Arabidopsis thaliana: one gene and its partners. The protein of the gene in region 1 interacts with the protein of each later gene in a pairwise test. Each region holds a gene or a part of one and is shown in the gene's direction. Other genes may lie near its edges.

Evidence for each region.
Region 2: the proteins of ATXR5 (region 1) and HSFA1E interact in a two-hybrid assay, tested with the Arabidopsis thaliana proteins (one large-scale study listed by BioGRID).
Region 3: the proteins of ATXR5 (region 1) and FIB interact in a two-hybrid assay, tested with the Arabidopsis thaliana proteins (one large-scale study listed by BioGRID).
Region 4: the proteins of ATXR5 (region 1) and AT4G32960 interact in a two-hybrid assay, tested with the Arabidopsis thaliana proteins (one large-scale study listed by BioGRID).

Annotation. Positions count from the first base shown.
Region 1 is NC_003076.8:3,038,435-3,042,993, reverse strand, and holds ATXR5 (TRITHORAX-RELATED PROTEIN 5), read left to right. Parts: upstream 1-1,832; 5' UTR 1,833-2,023; coding exon 2,024-2,378; intron 2,379-2,478; coding exon 2,479-2,559; intron 2,560-2,823; coding exon 2,824-3,053; intron 3,054-3,148; coding exon 3,149-3,249; intron 3,250-3,335; coding exon 3,336-3,548; intron 3,549-3,630; coding exon 3,631-3,790; 3' UTR 3,791-4,014; downstream 4,015-4,559. Other genes in the region: AT5G09780 (Transcriptional factor B3 family protein), read left to right, coding at 4,510-4,559. UniProt on the Arabidopsis thaliana protein: Histone methyltransferase that specifically monomethylates 'Lys-27' of histone H3 (H3K27me1). Has much higher activity on nucleosomes containing H3.1 than H3.3.
Region 2 is NC_003074.8:671,824-676,931, forward strand, and holds HSFA1E (heat shock transcription factor A1E), read left to right. Parts: upstream 1-1,604; 5' UTR 1,605-1,790; coding exon 1,791-2,036; intron 2,037-3,004; coding exon 3,005-4,165; 3' UTR 4,166-4,197; intron 4,198-4,297; 3' UTR 4,298-4,605; downstream 4,606-5,108. Other genes in the region: MCC1 (MEIOTIC CONTROL OF CROSSOVERS1), read right to left, coding at 22-166, 247-392. UniProt on the Arabidopsis thaliana protein: Transcriptional activator that specifically binds DNA sequence 5'-AGAAnnTTCT-3' known as heat shock promoter elements (HSE).
Region 3 is NC_003075.7:1,929,976-1,934,471, forward strand, and holds FIB (fibrillin), read left to right. Parts: upstream 1-1,907; 5' UTR 1,908-2,185; coding exon 2,186-2,631; intron 2,632-2,973; coding exon 2,974-3,169; intron 3,170-3,256; coding exon 3,257-3,571; 3' UTR 3,572-3,975; downstream 3,976-4,496. Other genes in the region: AT4G04025 (transcription repressor), read right to left, coding at 4,034-4,048, 4,119-4,496. UniProt on the Arabidopsis thaliana protein: Probably involved in light/cold stress-related jasmonate (JA) biosynthesis. Contributes to the protection of photosystem II (PSII) against light stress.
Region 4 is NC_003075.7:15,908,058-15,911,855, reverse strand, and holds AT4G32960 (BRISC/BRCA1-A complex protein), read left to right. Parts: upstream 1-1,563; 5' UTR 1,564-1,714; coding exon 1,715-1,981; intron 1,982-2,452; coding exon 2,453-2,611; intron 2,612-2,702; coding exon 2,703-3,071; 3' UTR 3,072-3,284; downstream 3,285-3,798. Other genes in the region: AT4G32970 (BRISC/BRCA1-A complex protein), read left to right, coding at 1-159, 336-368, 498-1,056, 1,148-1,185.

The DNA of each region.
Region 1 (4,559 bases):
AGAATAAATTGCAATGTTCTTTAGTACTAGTATCATTGCAATGTTGATACTCTAAACCAGAATTTTATGTTTGGACTTGGCAAAATCGTATTAAAAGTAAAGCTATCAATATGCTCTATCAAGGGAGATGTTGTCTTTGTATCTAAAACAAACTGAATCTTGATTGATTGAGCAGTCAAAAACAAAATTGGATTTAAAAGATTACAAGAAGTGGATTTGGCATTTGGAGGAACGTTAGGATAAGGAAGGAGGTCTTTGGTGAGTTGCAATTTCTTGTCAACATCAACCTTAGTACCAATTTCCACTTTCATTACTTGAAGAAATTCACTTTCCGACAGAACAGCCTCACTTGTTCGACTTCTCTAAGATTCCCTCTACACCCGTATAACTCCAACACCTTCAACGTATTTCCATCAATGCTATACCCACAAGTACTTACACACTGAAAACCCTGAAACAACGGATAGAAAAGAAAAGAACACACAGTAAGTGAAACTCCGAGATTAAATTTATAATTGAGAAAGAGAAAAAGAGATCATATTATACATACAAACCTTGAGGATCAAAGTTTCTAGATTGGGAGAGCTTTTTATCAGAGTCCAAAGAACTTTCCAACCTTTTTTCGTCTTAGACTCAAACGATAGTTTAACAAGGTTTTTAAACAAGGGAAATTCATTACTACGCCAATAATCGAAGCAATGACGCATCATCTACAACACACAAGCAAACTGGTCATGAATGAAACACAAACAAATTGGTCAAGCATGAATGTAACAAGATACATGGAGAAGAGAGAGACATCATACTTTAACGGTAGTAGAAGCAAGGTCAAGAATGTTTTTCATATTCCTCATATTCATAGGGACAAAACTCATAAGGCATAGAAAGATCGATGCGGGCTTCTCGAAGGGAATCCATTGTGATGGACCAGTAATAGTCTTATTTCTTTGATTTTTTTGGAATACTATGACTTAAACAGTATTAGTATAAGCAAAACTTACATGGCGAGCATATATGAATATCTTGAAGCATCCACCGATGCAAGACTTAAGTTTTCATCCTTGTGAAGAAGTGCAACAACCTTAATAAAGGACTTAGCCACAAAATTACCTAGCATACACCCCGGTTCAGAAAATATGATAAGAAAGTTTTGCTCTCATCGTCAAGAATATATCAAACAACCATTTCACTTGTTCCAATTATGTATATTATTCTTTATAGTCTATACCATAACTATTTCATTAACGCTAACACCGCAATTTCTTATTAATTAAAAACCTTGAAAAAAATAGAGAAAACTATTCATATATAAAATTATAAGATAAAAATTTACAATTGAAAGATATTATATATGTATATAAAATTATGAAAATCAATATGGCGAAAAATTCTTAAATCGGAAACAGAAAATTATGTTAAACCATAAGACATAATTTATTAAATTTTGTATTTTATAGATTCAGATTTATGTAATATTACATTGTTGGTCAAACCAGAACACTTTGGTTTAGCTTGTCAAATAAAGAACTTGAGCCTCCAATGAGGCGGACCGACTGTTGGGCTTGGCGTTGGGGTGGCTCAGTTGACGAAATTGACGTTTACTGTGTTTGTATTGAGCCCACCAACATATATTTTTTTTCAATTGAAAGATATCTATTTTTGTAATTACGTTTGTATAGTATAGTTAATACTGTATTAATTTTTATATCAATCCCTAGTAAATTAAATAAGTAAAATTTAGTTAAGAAATTTAGTAACAATTAAAAGGCTTTAATGGTTGTAAATTTATTAGTATCACTTACAATGTTTAAACCTTTTAAGACATACCAGTAATTTTGAATTTGTCAAAGGTCAAAAAAACAAAAGAGCCGATAAAGAAGAGTCTCAAAGGAAGAATCCCAAATTACACTCCAGGTGATGCGCACATCAGTTTTCGTGCGCACACGCGGCGGTGCACATTAGCCCCAACCAATCAAAATCATATATCCCGTTCTCCGGCGACTCTTCGTCGTGAGCTTCCGTCATGGCCACATGGAACGCATCCTCCCCTGCGGCGTCTCCTTGCTCATCGAGGCGACGAACGAAAGCTCCAGCGAGACGCCCTTCCTCCGAATCTCCACCACCGAGGAAGATGAAATCAATGGCTGAGATAATGGCGAAATCTGTCCCTGTGGTTGAACAAGAAGAAGAAGAAGACGAAGACAGCTACAGTAACGTCACCTGCGAGAAATGTGGTTCTGGAGAAGGAGACGATGAGCTTCTTCTCTGTGACAAATGCGATAGAGGCTTTCACATGAAATGCCTTAGACCCATTGTTGTTCGTGTCCCCATTGGAACTTGGCTTTGTGTCGATTGTTCCGACCAACGACCTGTAAGAAGTATGGATTTTTTGTTTCTTCGCTTTTAAATTTCCTAATTTTCTTGTGTTCTTTGTTTAATAAAAAAATGGATTTTTCTCTTGTCCGGTGAAATGTTTAGGGTTATCTCAGAAGAAGATTTTACATTTCTTTCGGATTGAGAAGCATACTCATCAAACAGACAAATTGGAATTGAGTCAAGGTGCGATTTTTGTTTTTGGATTTCATGATATGATCATAAAGTTCTTGAGTTGATGAATCTGACGAGATGTTTCACTTGATTAAATAGTTAGATGAATATGAAATAGCTTAACTTTGGCCTATTATATGCTTGAAATTTTGTTGCACCTTATGTAGGGTTAATAAGCATTGATGAGAACTTATACATATCATATACATAGATCATAGATGCTTCAGGATTAAACTAATAACAAGTGTTTGAGATTGAGATTTCTTTGTTTTGAAGAAGAAACTAGAAAGCGGAGACGATCTTGCTCTTTGACAGTGAAGAAAAGAAGGAGAAAACTCTTACCTTTGGTTCCATCAGAAGATCCTGATCAGAGGCTTGCACAAATGGGAACACTTGCTTCTGCATTAACGGCATTGGGTATCAAATACAGCGATGGTTTAAATTATGTTCCCGGAATGGCTCCTCGGTCTGCAAATCAATCCAAGTTAGAGAAAGGTGGGATGCAGGTAATAAACAAAAACAATCTTTCAGCCATTTATCCATAACTCTCTTATTTTAAGTTACTTCCTTGATTGTTTATCTCGGTTTTTACTTTTCGCAGGTGCTATGCAAAGAAGATTTAGAGACATTGGAACAATGTCAATCTATGTATAGACGAGGAGAATGCCCTCCTCTCGTTGTGGTATTTGATCCGCTTGAAGGGTATCTCTCTCTATTCCTTCGATCAACCTTCCCATAATGACAAAGTGGAGTTGTAAACATGTTCTTTGGTTATTCCGTTTGTACAGTTACACAGTTGAAGCAGATGGTCCTATTAAGGACTTAACATTCATAGCTGAATATACAGGGGATGTTGATTACTTGAAAAACCGAGAAAAAGACGATTGTGACAGCATCATGACTCTCCTTTTATCAGAAGATCCTTCAAAGACTCTTGTTATCTGTCCAGACAAGTTTGGAAACATATCTCGCTTCATTAATGGCATTAACAATCACAATCCGTAAGCAACAAATTCAAAATTGTTTTCCCCCCACTAAACTGGTTTATAACATTGAATCATCACATCACACTGATTGTTGCAGGGTTGCTAAGAAGAAGCAGAACTGCAAATGCGTGAGGTATAGCATAAACGGCGAATGTCGAGTTCTTCTAGTGGCTACACGCGATATATCGAAAGGGGAAAGGCTCTATTATGACTACAATGGTTATGAACATGAGTATCCTACTCATCACTTCCTCTGATCTTTCAATTCTAACAGTTCTACAGAGTCTCTAGATCAGATGTTCTTTTTGTTGCCATATTACAGGTCAATTATAAATGTAGGGCTGCTGAATATATGGCCTTTAATTATGAAGTTAGCGGTAGAATAATTGGATTTGGAATGACATTACAGAGATTAAGATGTGGCAAATGTCAATTGCTGAACTTTTGTTTGATATCAAATGAAATCCTAACCTTTTTCTTATATGTTCTTGGAGACAACTTCACCACCTTAAGTGGTTGCCAAATAAGTTATAATTTCTTTTATACTCTTCTTCATAAATTTATCAAAATGAAGAACTAATCCAATACAGTCATTACCTAAACAGAAAAGTATAATTACAGTACTTGCCTAGTGTCGTACTTCTTATTTCCAGTCACCGAAATGTATTAACGCCAAAAGAGATTCATCTGTTATGCATAATAATCGCATGCTATGAATTAAATGAACACATCCAAAAAGGATGAAGTCACAATTGTACTACAGTTTCAGTATTGAGAGGAAAGCTTTTTTCACTTTGACCACTTTGATTGAATCATATCTTTGAAATTTTAAGTGGTGCTTTGCTACATATTCAACGGCTCAACAAGACAGAGAGAAAAATATTACGAGAGGAGATAGAGAGTGAGAGAGACGAGCAAGTTGAAGGAGCAAAACTTGTAGGTGAGAGCTTGAATCAGAACATTTCAAAGGAGAGAGATGGCAAGTAACCCTGATTTTCTTTGGTGCAAAGAAGAGAGGAAGCAGGA
Region 2 (5,108 bases), on another chromosome or scaffold:
ATTCATAGAATGAAAACTAACCTCGCTATCTTTGGCAAGCACAAATTTGGCAGTAACAAAACCAATAAGTTCATCAGAGTGATCATCAGGCCGGCTCCGATCAACAGCAGCCCATGAGACGATATCAACTCCGTTCACAACACTCTGGAAAAACTCAGACTCATACCTGACAAAACAAAAATCAATACTTTAGAAATCTTTTCACAAGACACCAACATAGGAAAATCCAAGTAGATGGATGCATACTTGATGGGGAAGATATCGCGATGGATTTGCTCCAAACGATCTAGATCATTAGGGTTTATAGGTCTATAGTGAATACTTGGGCAAAGAGAGATTCCTGCATCTTCCATTGATGAATCATCTATGAATCTTCGAGGAAATCGCGACATTGTTTGGTATCCGAAGAACCAGAAAAGCCACTTCCCATTGTGAAGTGCCAGATCACTGGATCCGACCCGTTGAAGTAAATGGATCCGGATAGATTTAACGAATCTGGATCTGAGTGGGTTTGTTTGGATTTGATTGGTTAATCTTCGGCGAAGGAATCAATCAAGAACCGAGTTTCGAGCATGGGAAAGAAAAAGGTGCTTGCTTGCTTTGCCCTCTCCTCTGTCTCTTGGGGCTTTTTCTCGTTCCAAGTGAAGCATCTTGGCTCGTGTGCTTTGCGACAACCAATCACGTGCCTCTTTTAGAAGGAGAGTACTAATGTACTATTTATGAATGGAATATTCGATTCTCTTAAATGAAAAATTGTTCCATTTTCAATAATATAACCATTTTTAACAATAAAAATTCGTACTGTTTTTTCTATCTGAAAAAAATGGATTTGAAAAAATTCGTACTTTCGATTCATAATCTGCTTTTTATTATTATTCGTTATAAGTCTGTACTATGGTAAGAGAACCTTAAAATATTCCCCTCCACAACAAAAAATAAAAATCAAACTGGAGAAGAGTTAGGCAGTAAAGGAGAATTTCCTTGCCCTATTAACTCGATTAGGCGGGCCAATACACTTGTTATGTGTTTTCCACTTTTCTTCGTTACAAATTTAGATTAGTCTTACATGATGAGCCGTTAGATATCATAGAAAGAAATAATCTTATAAAATTTGATAAGATTTCTATAATCCACAAATCTGGATCGATGTTTATTTCAGATTTATAAATATTGTCTTAAAAAAAAAATTATTGGCCGTCTCGGCGGCAAGCAGAGAGAGAGAGACTCAACGTTTTCGTAACAACAAAACTTTGAGTAGCAGAAAATTATCCAAAAAAAAACGTGAAACGCAAATGGAAAAAATTGAGAAAAGTAACGCGAGTCCAGTGCCACGTATGAAAAAAAGAGCTTAGGACCAGATACGTTAATCAGAAAAAGACCAGGTACGTACGTTAATTAATGTTTTTTTAAAAAGGCCAAGCACGTTAGTCCAGCCCACGTGGTATTTCTTATCTTAACAACAAAACTAATTTTTTAATTTAATAATCGGACGTTGCAGAGGTAATCAGATCAACGGTAGAGATTACGACACGTTATATCACTCTGCGAAACTCCACCGCTTTCTGGAATTAAAAAAATCAGAGTGTATAAATAAAAGAGCAGAGGTAAAAGCTATCTCCAGAGTTTAATATAAGTGTAGACAGAGAGAGAGAGAGCTTCTTTCTTCTTCTCTTCGTCGCTAAGAGATGATCTTCGAATATAAATCTCTGTAAGGTTTGCGAAGACCGGAGTAGTGAATCTCGGAATTGTTGAAGAAGACGGTACACCGGAATCAATTGCGATTTTGATTTATGGGAACGGTTTGCGAATCTGTAGCGACGGCGAAATCTTCGACGGCGGTGATGAGCTCCATTCCGCCTTTTCTGAGCAAAACGTACGATATGGTTGACGATCCATTGACGGACGACGTGGTGTCTTGGAGCAGCGGAAACAACAGCTTCGTGGTTTGGAACGTGCCTGAGTTCGCCAAACAGTTTCTACCAAAGTATTTCAAGCACAACAATTTCTCCAGCTTCGTCAGACAGCTCAATACTTATGTGAGTGAACTTCGATCGATTCTTTTTTATTTGTTTTTCTCTTCATTGATTCGATTTTCTTCAATTTCGTAGTTCGATTTTAGGGAATCTTACTTTATGTGCTTCATTTTTATTTTACTCTCTTGTTTTTTTTGTGGTTGAATTAAGCATTAGTTATTGATAAAACTCACGAATGATTTAAGGTTGCAAGAAGGTGCTTTGAGAAGTCGACTCCTATTTAGTGTATAGTATGATGCTACTGATTGATGTTCCTATATAGTTGTTGACGCTGGTGGTTGAACTATGCACGTCTAGTAGGTTGTGTTAATGTTGATTTTAGTTGCACTAACTGTTAAGATTGGATCTTTTTGGGTTCTGACAAACTCGTGCAAGATAATTTCACATATTTGTATTGTTCTTCAGTTGTTTTTTGTACATGTATACCCTGTGAACTGCAGGCATATATGTTTTTGTTTTTCTAAGTATCTGAGCTTGCATCCGTGTCTGTGAGGCTGGAATGAATTTTCTTAGGTCAAGCAAAACTAACAAGTGTATACTCTTGCGTAGCTTGTTCCTCCCCTGTTCTTATTTACTTACCAAAAGGTTCCACGAACTTTGCAGGCTTATTTGGACATGTGCTCATATGTGTCTGACGATTGGTTGATTCAGCACTTCCATTTCTGGCCTCTTAAGTCACAAAACAAAATTTCTATCAGTTGTCCCATGTTAGCTTTCCATTCGTTTGTATTTGTCCGTCCAGGTACATGCCGATACACTAACAACTGTATTAGTTTCCTTGGACCATGGTAGTTTGGTGCTGCAGCTAGACCCAGTGAACGTATCATACCATATCTAGAATAGTTGTTATTAACGTATTTAATGGTCTTTATGTTTATACAAATCTTCTATGTTGGCTTCCTATTGCAACGGAATCCAAGTAACTTCTTGCGGTTGATGACTGTTCCATTCTCCATGCTTCTTTTTTTCAGGGTTTTAGAAAAGTTGATCCAGACCGCTGGGAGTTTGCAAACGAGGGCTTTTTAAGAGGCCAAAAGCAAATACTAAAGAGTATTGTCCGGCGAAAACCTGCACAAGTGCAGCCTCCACAACAACCTCAAGTTCAGCACTCATCTGTGGGTGCGTGCGTTGAAGTGGGCAAATTTGGACTCGAAGAGGAAGTGGAAAGACTTCAGCGCGATAAGAACGTCCTTATGCAGGAACTTGTAAGGTTGAGGCAGCAACAACAAGTTACCGAACATCATCTGCAGAATGTGGGGCAGAAAGTTCATGTGATGGAGCAGAGGCAGCAACAGATGATGTCCTTTCTAGCAAAGGCTGTCCAAAGTCCAGGTTTCTTAAACCAATTTTCTCAGCAGAGTAATGAAGCAAACCAACACATTTCTGAAAGCAACAAAAAGAGGAGGCTACCTGTTGAGGACCAGATGAATTCTGGCAGTCATGGGGTTAATGGTCTTAGCCGCCAGATTGTGAGATATCAGTCATCGATGAACGATGCAACAAACACTATGCTTCAACAGATACAGCAGATGAGTAATGCACCTAGCCATGAATCTCTCTCAAGCAATAATGGTAGCTTTCTTTTGGGCGATGTTCCAAATTCTAACATTTCAGACAATGGGAGCTCCTCAAATGGATCACCTGAAGTTACATTGGCAGATGTTTCATCCATTCCTGCAGGCTTCTATCCTGCAATGAAGTACCACGAGCCTTGTGAAACAAATCAAGTCATGGAGACCAATTTGCCTTTTTCTCAAGGTGATCTCTTACCTCCAACGCAAGGAGCAGCAGCTTCTGGGAGCTCAAGTTCGGATCTTGTTGGATGCGAGACAGATAATGGAGAGTGTTTGGATCCAATAATGGCTGTTTTGGATGGCGCACTCGAACTAGAAGCTGATACCTTAAATGAGTTGCTTCCTGAAGTCCAAGATTCTTTTTGGGAACAGTTCATTGGTGAGAGCCCAGTGATTGGTGAGACAGATGAGTTAATCTCAGGATCAGTGGAAAATGAACTGATATTGGAGCAACTAGAGTTACAATCAACCCTGAGTAATGTGTGGAGCAAGAATCAACAAATGAACCATCTTACTGAACAGATGGGACTTCTCACATCAGATGCTCTCAGAAAATGAGATTGCCACAGGCCACAATCTTTCCTCACGAGGTAATCAGTCTATCTATATTGATATGTTATAAACCACACACTTTCCAAAATTTAAATTTTGTGCAAAACCAAACCCCTCGTCTTTGTCTTGTTATCGCAGATGGGTTAAGATTTTGTGGAGCCGCAACAACAAAAAGAATATGACCAAAGGAGGTACTATGTATGTATGTATCAAACTGTTGTAACTCTAATTCTTGTCAATGTATAATAAAATAAGAGAAATATTGCCTTAAAAGATTTTTGCATTGCAATATCTTTGTTTGTTACTGACAGAATGAAAAGGAGATGCTTCAAAGTGAGAGATATTCTTCTGTTCTTGTGTATGTCTTTAGAGATCCTTGTTTATTTTTGTTACATTAAGTGCAAAAATTGGCATTTTGGTTAACCTGTGGCCAAATCTTACCTGCTTTAGTGTTTTTTTATCAGTCCTTCACTTTTAGTTTCTTGAGTAAAACTAATGTTCCAATTTCGTCTAAAGGAAATCATCTAAAGAGAGAGTAAAAAGGAAGAACGTGTGTCGTGTGGATATAGTAACAAAGTGGTTTAAAAGGATCAAGTCATTGATTACACGGAATCAAAGTGTATGTACATGCATATGTTAAGCTCTGAAACTGCAACCGAACCAGATCCATTTGTCGTTTGTATCAATCTTAAACTTGCTTTTAACATTACATACAACATTACATATGATATTACCATTAGTTGTAATTTATATAGCTTATATGATATATATCTATTTCTGAAAACTATATAAATATTTTACATATGATAAATTTCACAGATATCTCATGGATATATTGCTTTAAAAGAGGATATGAACATTAATAAACATGTAATTTGTTAAAAGAATTGATAAAGACCATATATTAAGGATAAAATAGTTACTCTGAAAGAAAATTTGAACATTCATG
Region 3 (4,496 bases), on another chromosome or scaffold:
AAACAGTTATGCAAATGCCTTGTAAATCATTCTACGACAGTTAATTAAGCTTTAAAAACGATTGTAAAACTTTATTACCTGTTGTGAGATAGAACTCTCTCAAGGAGAAACAGATAGGTTGAGAATCAACTCTAAACCAAAGAGTTGATCCTTTTGTTTTCACTCTCTGCTGCATGAGATAGTGAAAGATTTTCCCAGAAAATCTGATTCCCTTCTTAGCCTTCATTTTTGGTCCCAATTCAACTAGAAGACCAAGAAACGAACTTCTAATCTTCTGAAATAAACACTCGCCTAAAGCTTCCTCTACTTTACTAACTAAATTCCAATCCAAGTATTGTTGAACGGTTCCCAGTGCAATAGATTCCTCACCTTCTCTGTAGATCTGTTCAGGCAATGTAAGGATTTCACTCTCTGAATCCATCTGCAAAACATGTTATGAAACATCGTCAGATCTACTATAAAATCGACTATAAAATCGATTATAAAAACGGTTACCGTCGGATCTATCGATATCTCTGGGGATTGTTTGCGTCGTAGAGAAATGATCTGAATCCGTCAGCGAAGAACAGATTTATCGGAGAGGAAATTCGTCAGCGATTTTGGGGTTTCTCGGAGAGAAAATTTGTCGGCGATTTTGAGTGAAATCGGAGAGGAAATTCGTTGGCGATTTTGAGTGAAATCGGAGAGGAAATTCGTCGGCAATTTTGAGTGAAATCGGAGAGGAAATTCGCCGGCGATTTTGAGTGAAATCGGATAGGAAAATTCGTTGGCCAAAACGAAGAAGTTTGTGCCAAAACGAATTGTATTGTGAAACGAATGTGAAACCTAATCATTCAGTAAGGGTAAGACAGTCATTTGCCATATTAGAAAGGGTAGTTTTAAAAATGGCCTTCAGGAAAGGACATTTTTACAAAAGGTTATTAGAATAAGGGCAGTTTTGCAAATCTCCCAATTAAATATTAAAGTATTTTGAATCAATGGCATTTTTGTAATTAATCTAAACCGGAAGGATATTTTTTGGTTTATATTTTATTTCTCTTTCCTATTTACGTAAATAACATATTTTTATGTATAAATTCTTAATATTCTGTTTATCCATGTATATATTTTTAACTCACCCTATAGTTTTCTAAGTAATTTAAGTATTTTGGTTACATTTGGTTATATTTTGGTAAAATATAACTAATATATTTTTGGATAAACTAATCAGGCATCTCGGTTAGATTTAGGTATAGATGAGTAAAAAACTCGAACTCGACCTGAACCCAAAAATATTTTGAGTATTTTTGATTATTTTTCAATTCTTACTAAAATAACTAAATCGATCCAAACTCAAACCAAAACCGAACCAAAATTTTAGAATACATGAATGGTTTTTAACTTCATACCTAAATAGATCCGATACTCAAAAAAAAAAAGAACCGAACAGATATGAGTACCCGAATATCTACACCTGCCCAGTATTATTATTATTATTTTTTTTGAACAAACACCGGTACTATTATTTTACCAGCTAATTTTTCTCCCTTTAAGAACGTTTTGGACCTATTGGTCTATTGGATACAAAACTATTGTATTCATTTTAAATTTTTAATGGGTCTTCTTTGTTAATAAAGGCCCATTAAATATACTATCCAGGCCCATTTAGTCCAACTACTTATTACACTGTTGATTAATCGCCGTTTAGATATTTTGCATTGGAGAGAATCTTCACCGTTCAGAAAACTGAAGATCGAAGATCACCAAAACCGGCCAAAAAGTATAGTACACGTCCGAAGATTCTAGATCCATCATGCCATTTGCATTGCATGGCCTAACTCTCGTAGAAAACCCAAACAAATTCTCCCCCACACAAATAATGGGACAAAAACCAAATTAAACCAAATTGTTTCCCTATTGAAGAAAATAAAATCTTCCACAAATTTTATGAATTTTTCATAAAGTCGGCAACTTCACACGAGTCCAGGTCGATTCTTAAAACAATGATCTTTAACCATCCACGTGTCAAAATCCCACCTTAGCTTACCTCATTTGTTCTATTCCAAATACCTATTCTATCCCTTGGATCTTGACTTATATGTTCATAAGAAAGTGTACCAGATAAGGGTATATACGTCATTTACAGTCCAGCTCAACGGTTATAAAATCCTAATTCGTGAGGTTTCTCTGAAGAACAAACACAAAAATGGCGACGGTACCATTGTTCACCCAGTTTCCCTGCAAAACCCTAAATCCAAGCTCATCAAACACTAAACACCAATCGAAATCTCCGATCCTACTACCGATTAACTCAATAAATCGGCGATCGGAGATTGGAGTCTCTGTTCATCGGCCAGATTTCAAAATCCGAGCGACGGACATCGACGACGAATGGGGTCAAGATGGAGTGGAGAGAGTATTTGCCTCATCTTCAACCGTATCGGTAGCAGATAAAGCAATCGAATCCGTGGAGGAGACGGAGAGGCTAAAGAGATCACTAGCGGATTCGTTGTACGGAACAGATCGAGGTTTAAGCGTATCGAGTGATACGAGAGCTGAGATCAGCGAGCTCATCACACAGCTCGAGTCTAAGAACCCTACTCCAGCTCCTAACGAAGCTCTGTTTCTCCTCAACGGCAAATGGATCCTCGCGTAAGTACTTTTAGTTCTGATACTCTCCTAGGCACGGCATGTAATATTAGTTTTGTCCCAAACATTACTCAAACCGGTGATCTCTAAGCTTCGTCTAGGATCTTTACCAATTAAGTTAATGATACTTTAAACTTACCGGTGGAAGTTTAATTTCCCGGTGAAAACTGTTTAGTTCCGTTATGAATGATTTGATTTTGATAGTGAAAAGCAAGTTGTGGTTACAAAGAAGATTTAATTATGAATTTGGATTATGATTCTGTGTGTAGTTATGAGCCTTCGTTTATTTTTAGCCGTTATTGTTATGAATCAAGAACTTAGTTTTTAAGTGTTTATCTCGTGAAGCTACACGTCGTTCGTGGGGTTGTTCCCATTGCTCTCACGAAGAATTGAACCGTTGGTTAAAGTGGATGAGATCTCACAAACCATTGATTCCGATAGCTTCACCGTTCAAAACTCTGTCCGGTTCGCTGGTCCGTTTTCCACAACGTCGTTTAGCACCAACGCTAAGTTTGAAATCCGAAGTCCTAAACGTGTCCAGGTAAATCAAGAATCATCCCCTAAAACCACAAATGGCAAATGCTAATGTTACATAACCTAATTGTTTTTTTTGTTTTGTTTGTTGTAGATTAAGTTCGAGCAAGGTGTTATAGGGACTCCTCAGCTAACGGATTCGATTGAAATACCGGAATCCGTGGAGGTTCTTGGTCAGAAAATCGATCTCAATCCCATTAAAGGTTTACTTACATCAGTCCAAGACACTGCTTCTTCAGTGGCTAGAACCATTTCAAACCAACCACCATTGAAGTTTTCTCTGCCTAGTGACAACACGCAGTCGTGGCTGCTCACAACTTATCTCGACAAGGACCTTCGGATCTCGAGAGGCGATGGTGGAAGCGTCTATGTGCTCATCAAAGAAGGAAGCTCTCTCTTAAACCCTTAAATCATCATAACTCTCATCACATCCATAGTAACATATATACAAGTATAGACCCATCTGTCTATGTTTACTAGTGTTGTAACTGTTATATAGCTTCTTTACCTGTTGGAGAGTTATAAACTTATAATGGATGTTACTCTTGGTATACTGTACTACAATACATATACATAACTACATACTTGAACAGGCCAGTTATGGGTTTGCAACAGCAACACTTAGCATTGGTTCAAATTTGGTATACTAGGAGGGTTTGCATTCTGTATGGCATTCGGTTTTCCGGTTTAGTTTCAGTTCGAACTTTTGACTCGGATTGGATCAGGTTGTCAGCATTTTGGTCTGGTTTGAGTTTACAAAGGGGATACCAAATTGAAACCAAAATTTGTATCTAGTTCTGTAATTTTAATTTCAGTTATTTTTGGTTTATGAATGGTGGTAAATCTATTTATTACTTAGAAAACCGGTTTGTTACAAACCAGGTATCTTACACAAACATTTGAAAGAAACAACTGATCTTTGTTCACTCTTAGCTACGAAACAAATCAGCACAAACCTCGTAAAAGATCTCGAGAATGGCAGACCGATATTCGCGAGGATTCATCGATAGATAGTACTCCAAGAGGCTTCTAAGTTCATCTGCTTCTTTGATCTTGTTTGCTACAATCATCTCAACCATAGAGTCTCTAAAATCCTTTCTTGGATCAAAAGAACATTTCTCCATCGCCATCATGACAATGAACTTAGTGCTACTGATACTACCCTCACTTCTTCTTCTTCTTCTTCTCATCTTTTGTTGTCTTATCTTCTCTTGATGTGTGGCTTCTTGTGTCTCTCTGATCATCTGCTCTAGCTTCTCCTGAACCATGTAGTGTGCTAGACTAGAGAGCGAACCGTGATGGTCTGAAAATCTTGAACTCTTGTCTGCTTCCAC
Region 4 (3,798 bases), on another chromosome or scaffold:
GTTCTCAGTAACTGTGCTAGCCAGATTAAAAAGTATCTGACAGAAGCAGGGAAATTGTCGAGCGTCTCCTTAGCTAATCCCAGTGATGTAGTGGATTCAATATGTGGAAGGGCATTTGATGCTTTAAAGCAGGAAGATGTTGTTGCTAATGAAAAAGAAGTAAGCTCTCTCACATATACTAGTGCACTGTATCAAACTACCTTTATTGTTTGTAGATAATATACTTGCATCATGTGTCTCATACAGATGAAGGTGGTTTTTGAGTACCAATGGTTATGCAAGTCGTCTAGTTTCATTTGTTCTCTTACGGTTCTAAAAATTTGTGTATTCTGCAGGACCGTCAAGGCCCAAGAGAAGCGGCAGTAAAGGCATGCTTCTTTCTTCCTGAAACCAGCATTGAAACACTGAAATCTTTCATTTGTAAAAAGAAGATGAATGTCATCCTCGCTTATGTTGGAAGTAGATAGTTAATTGCAATCTTATTTTCCAATCAGCAGGAACAACAGAGAGCAGCAGAAGTTTCTACCCCTGAGCTAACTTGTGTACCTGAGAGGGGACTGAACCTGGAGCAGTCACTAAGTGTTTGTCCTCATGATTCATCTGTCAAATCAGCTATTTCTTCTATGAATGAGAATGGACACAAAATCCTTGAGATGGTTCAACAACCAGTGGCTGAAGAAGAGGATCTTGCAGAAACTAAGACTAAGACATACAAGCGAGCTCGAGTCGAAAGCTCCAGCGTTCATAAAGCTGATGGCGAGATGGAGAAGGAAGCTGCAGAAGGAGAACCCTCTTGCCGGTCCCACAAATCGAGTGCTGAGCCCGGAGACTTGCAGCCTAAGAACCTCCCTGAACCTTGCTCTGTCACACAACAGCTGGCTAAGGTCAAACAGAGCATTTTAGACACTGTAGCCAGTGTAAGACAGTTTCGCTGTGAGCTGGAAAGAAAGGAACAGAGCATTGCAGACACTTTAAGCATTGTACGACAGTTCCGATCTGAGATCGAGGAAAAGGAAGATATGCTAGAAGCTTCACTCCTGGAAATCGATGTGTTAGGTATGTGATATGAATGCTGATGAACACTTAAGAGTCTATTTTTCTTTTTGGTTATAGGTCTCTCTGATAATGTGATGTTTGGAACAAACAGGGGAGAAGATATCGGGAATCAACAAAATCCTCAACTGAAGATCATCAAGTGGATTGCAAACTCAACTGGTATCCTGAAACTAGTTGGACGATTGAGTAACGTAGTTGACAACCAGAGAGAAGTCATTTTTTTGTATAGCGTTATCACTCGCTCAAGTCTAAAGACAGTTGATTTTCTTAATGTCAAGTCAAAAACCAATAGTGGTTCTTATAGGCACCACTTTTTTGATGATTTAACAAAGTTCGAAGTTACCGCAATTGCTAATACTGATCGATTCAATCAAAAGAAAGCACCAAGAAACTGCATAGCCTCAATAACAGAAGTAAAAGAATCTCTCTTGTGTCCTAGTGGAACTACTCAATGAAACGATTTTTGCTCATTCCCATTCGTCAAAAAAGTCAAAAGAATCAAAACGCTGAAACTTTTTCTCTGTACAAAGAAAAAAAAAGAAAACATTAAACGACGACGTCGTGTTTTAGTTTCACCAAAACGCATCGTTTTATTTATATCGGACGAACCAGTAGAATTGTAGAAAGTAGAAGAGAGAATTCACTACATCGGCGGCGAATGGAGGAAGAGAGAGTGGCCGTGACCGGAGTAGGAACGACTCGATACGCGCTTAAACCGGGGCGTATAAAAAGCGAGGACATACTCATCTGTATCGATGTAGATGCAGAATCGATGGTGGAGATGAAGACCACTGGAACTAATGGTAGGCCTTTGATCAGGATGGAGTGCGTCAAGCAAGCCATTATTCTCTTCATTCACAATAAGCTGTCCATTAATCCTGATCATCGCTTTGCTTTCGCTACGCTCGCCAAATCAGCCGCTTGGGTATACTATTACTTTTCTCTCCGATTCTCTTTATGTGATTCAATTTGGGGGCTTTCTTTTGATTTTTGACTATGCTCCTCAATTTTGCATTTTTAGTTGAAAATTTTGAAATTCATGATAAGCTATACAGTATGCATCTTGGAGATTTGAATTTGCTTTGAACATATTCTGAACCTAATCCTCAATCTTAAACCTGGTTTTTCATGGATGCATGATTTGTTGAACATTCTTTACCTGATTGAAACTTGATGGTTTTTTCACCTGAGAATGGTGTTCTTGTTACTGTTTGTAGCTTCTAGATGTGTTGTGAGAATCACATTTGATGCTTTAACATAAGCTTCACTGGTGAATGTTGTGTGGGAAATAATGTCAAATTTGGTTCATGAAACTTTTGTTTAGATCCTCTCTACACTATTATCTGTGCTGATTGTTTCATTTGAAAATTGAACTTGAGGCCTTTTTATGTTTCAGCTTAAAAAGGAGTTCACAAGTGATGCTGAATCTGCTGTTGCTTCCCTTAGAGGATTGTCAGGTAATAAATCCTCTAGTCGAGCGGATCTCACACTTCTCTTCCGAGCAGCAGCTCAGGAAGCCAAAGTTTCCAGAGCACAGAACCGAATTTTCAGGGTGGTAAGGTTTATTTTGTGAAACTACAATCTCCTCTAGCCACAGCCTGAAAAATAAACGATGTTTTACTGATTTTGTTCATGTCGCCCTGCAGATTCTCATATACTGTAGGTCATCTATGAGACCAACCCATGAGTGGCCCTTAAACCAGAAGCTCTTCACGTTGGATGTTATGTACCTGCACGACAAGCCAAGTCCTGATAATTGTCCACAAGATGTGTATGACTCTCTTGTCGATGCAGTAGAACATGTTTCAGAGTATGAAGGTTACATATTTGAGAGCGGTCAAGGGCTTGCACGGTCTGTTTTCAAGCCAATGTCAATGCTGTTAACTCATCCTCAACAAAGATGTGCTCAAGATGATCTTGACATCCCCATGTCTCTTGCAAAGAAAGTGCCTGTGACTGAGGCGGCAAGTGCTGTAGATCCTCACAATGGGAACAATATTCAGATCATAAACTAATGAAACACTTTTTTTTTTTTCTTGTATCTTTTGGTCATGACATGGTTGTGAGTTTCGCATGTGAAAAAAATACTCAAAACCTGTAGTGACAACTTGTTCTAGATCCATCAAGTAAGAAACTCAAATGTCCAGATGAATATAAATGATTTTCTTATTTTAAGAGAAAATACCTCATCAAGTCCTCAAGGGCTCTCTAATAAAAGGTATTTGCAATATTGTTTCAGCTATTAATGATGAATTAAATGTCTAATATGAGCTAAATAAATTGAATTATGTAACTAGTCTTATCTTTTATCCCGATAACCATATCAGCAAACTTTTCATATGAATGAATACATAGATAATGCACAAATTAAAGTACGTCATTGTGTACATGGATATCTTAGTTTATGGAAATGTGTGGCTTTGAGAACGAGAAGCTAAGAAATATTACAAATTGCTTTGAATGTTGCAAAGTCAATACATCGATCAAGTTGATATTCAATGTTTTAATATATTGGGTAGATATTCATATTGGCGAGATCGTGATTGCATGATCTTCAATGTTTCTTTGGGAAGAAATTCATCAAAAATCCATTGGCTTATCCAAAAGAAAAATCTTCACGATTTCATGAAAATATATGCATGTAATTTAGTTTCGCTTTCCCTTAAGTTTATCCTTATAGCTAAAGCAACAGTCTAGTTCGTAAATTATGCCTCTCGGATAGGTAATAGCTAATGGACGATG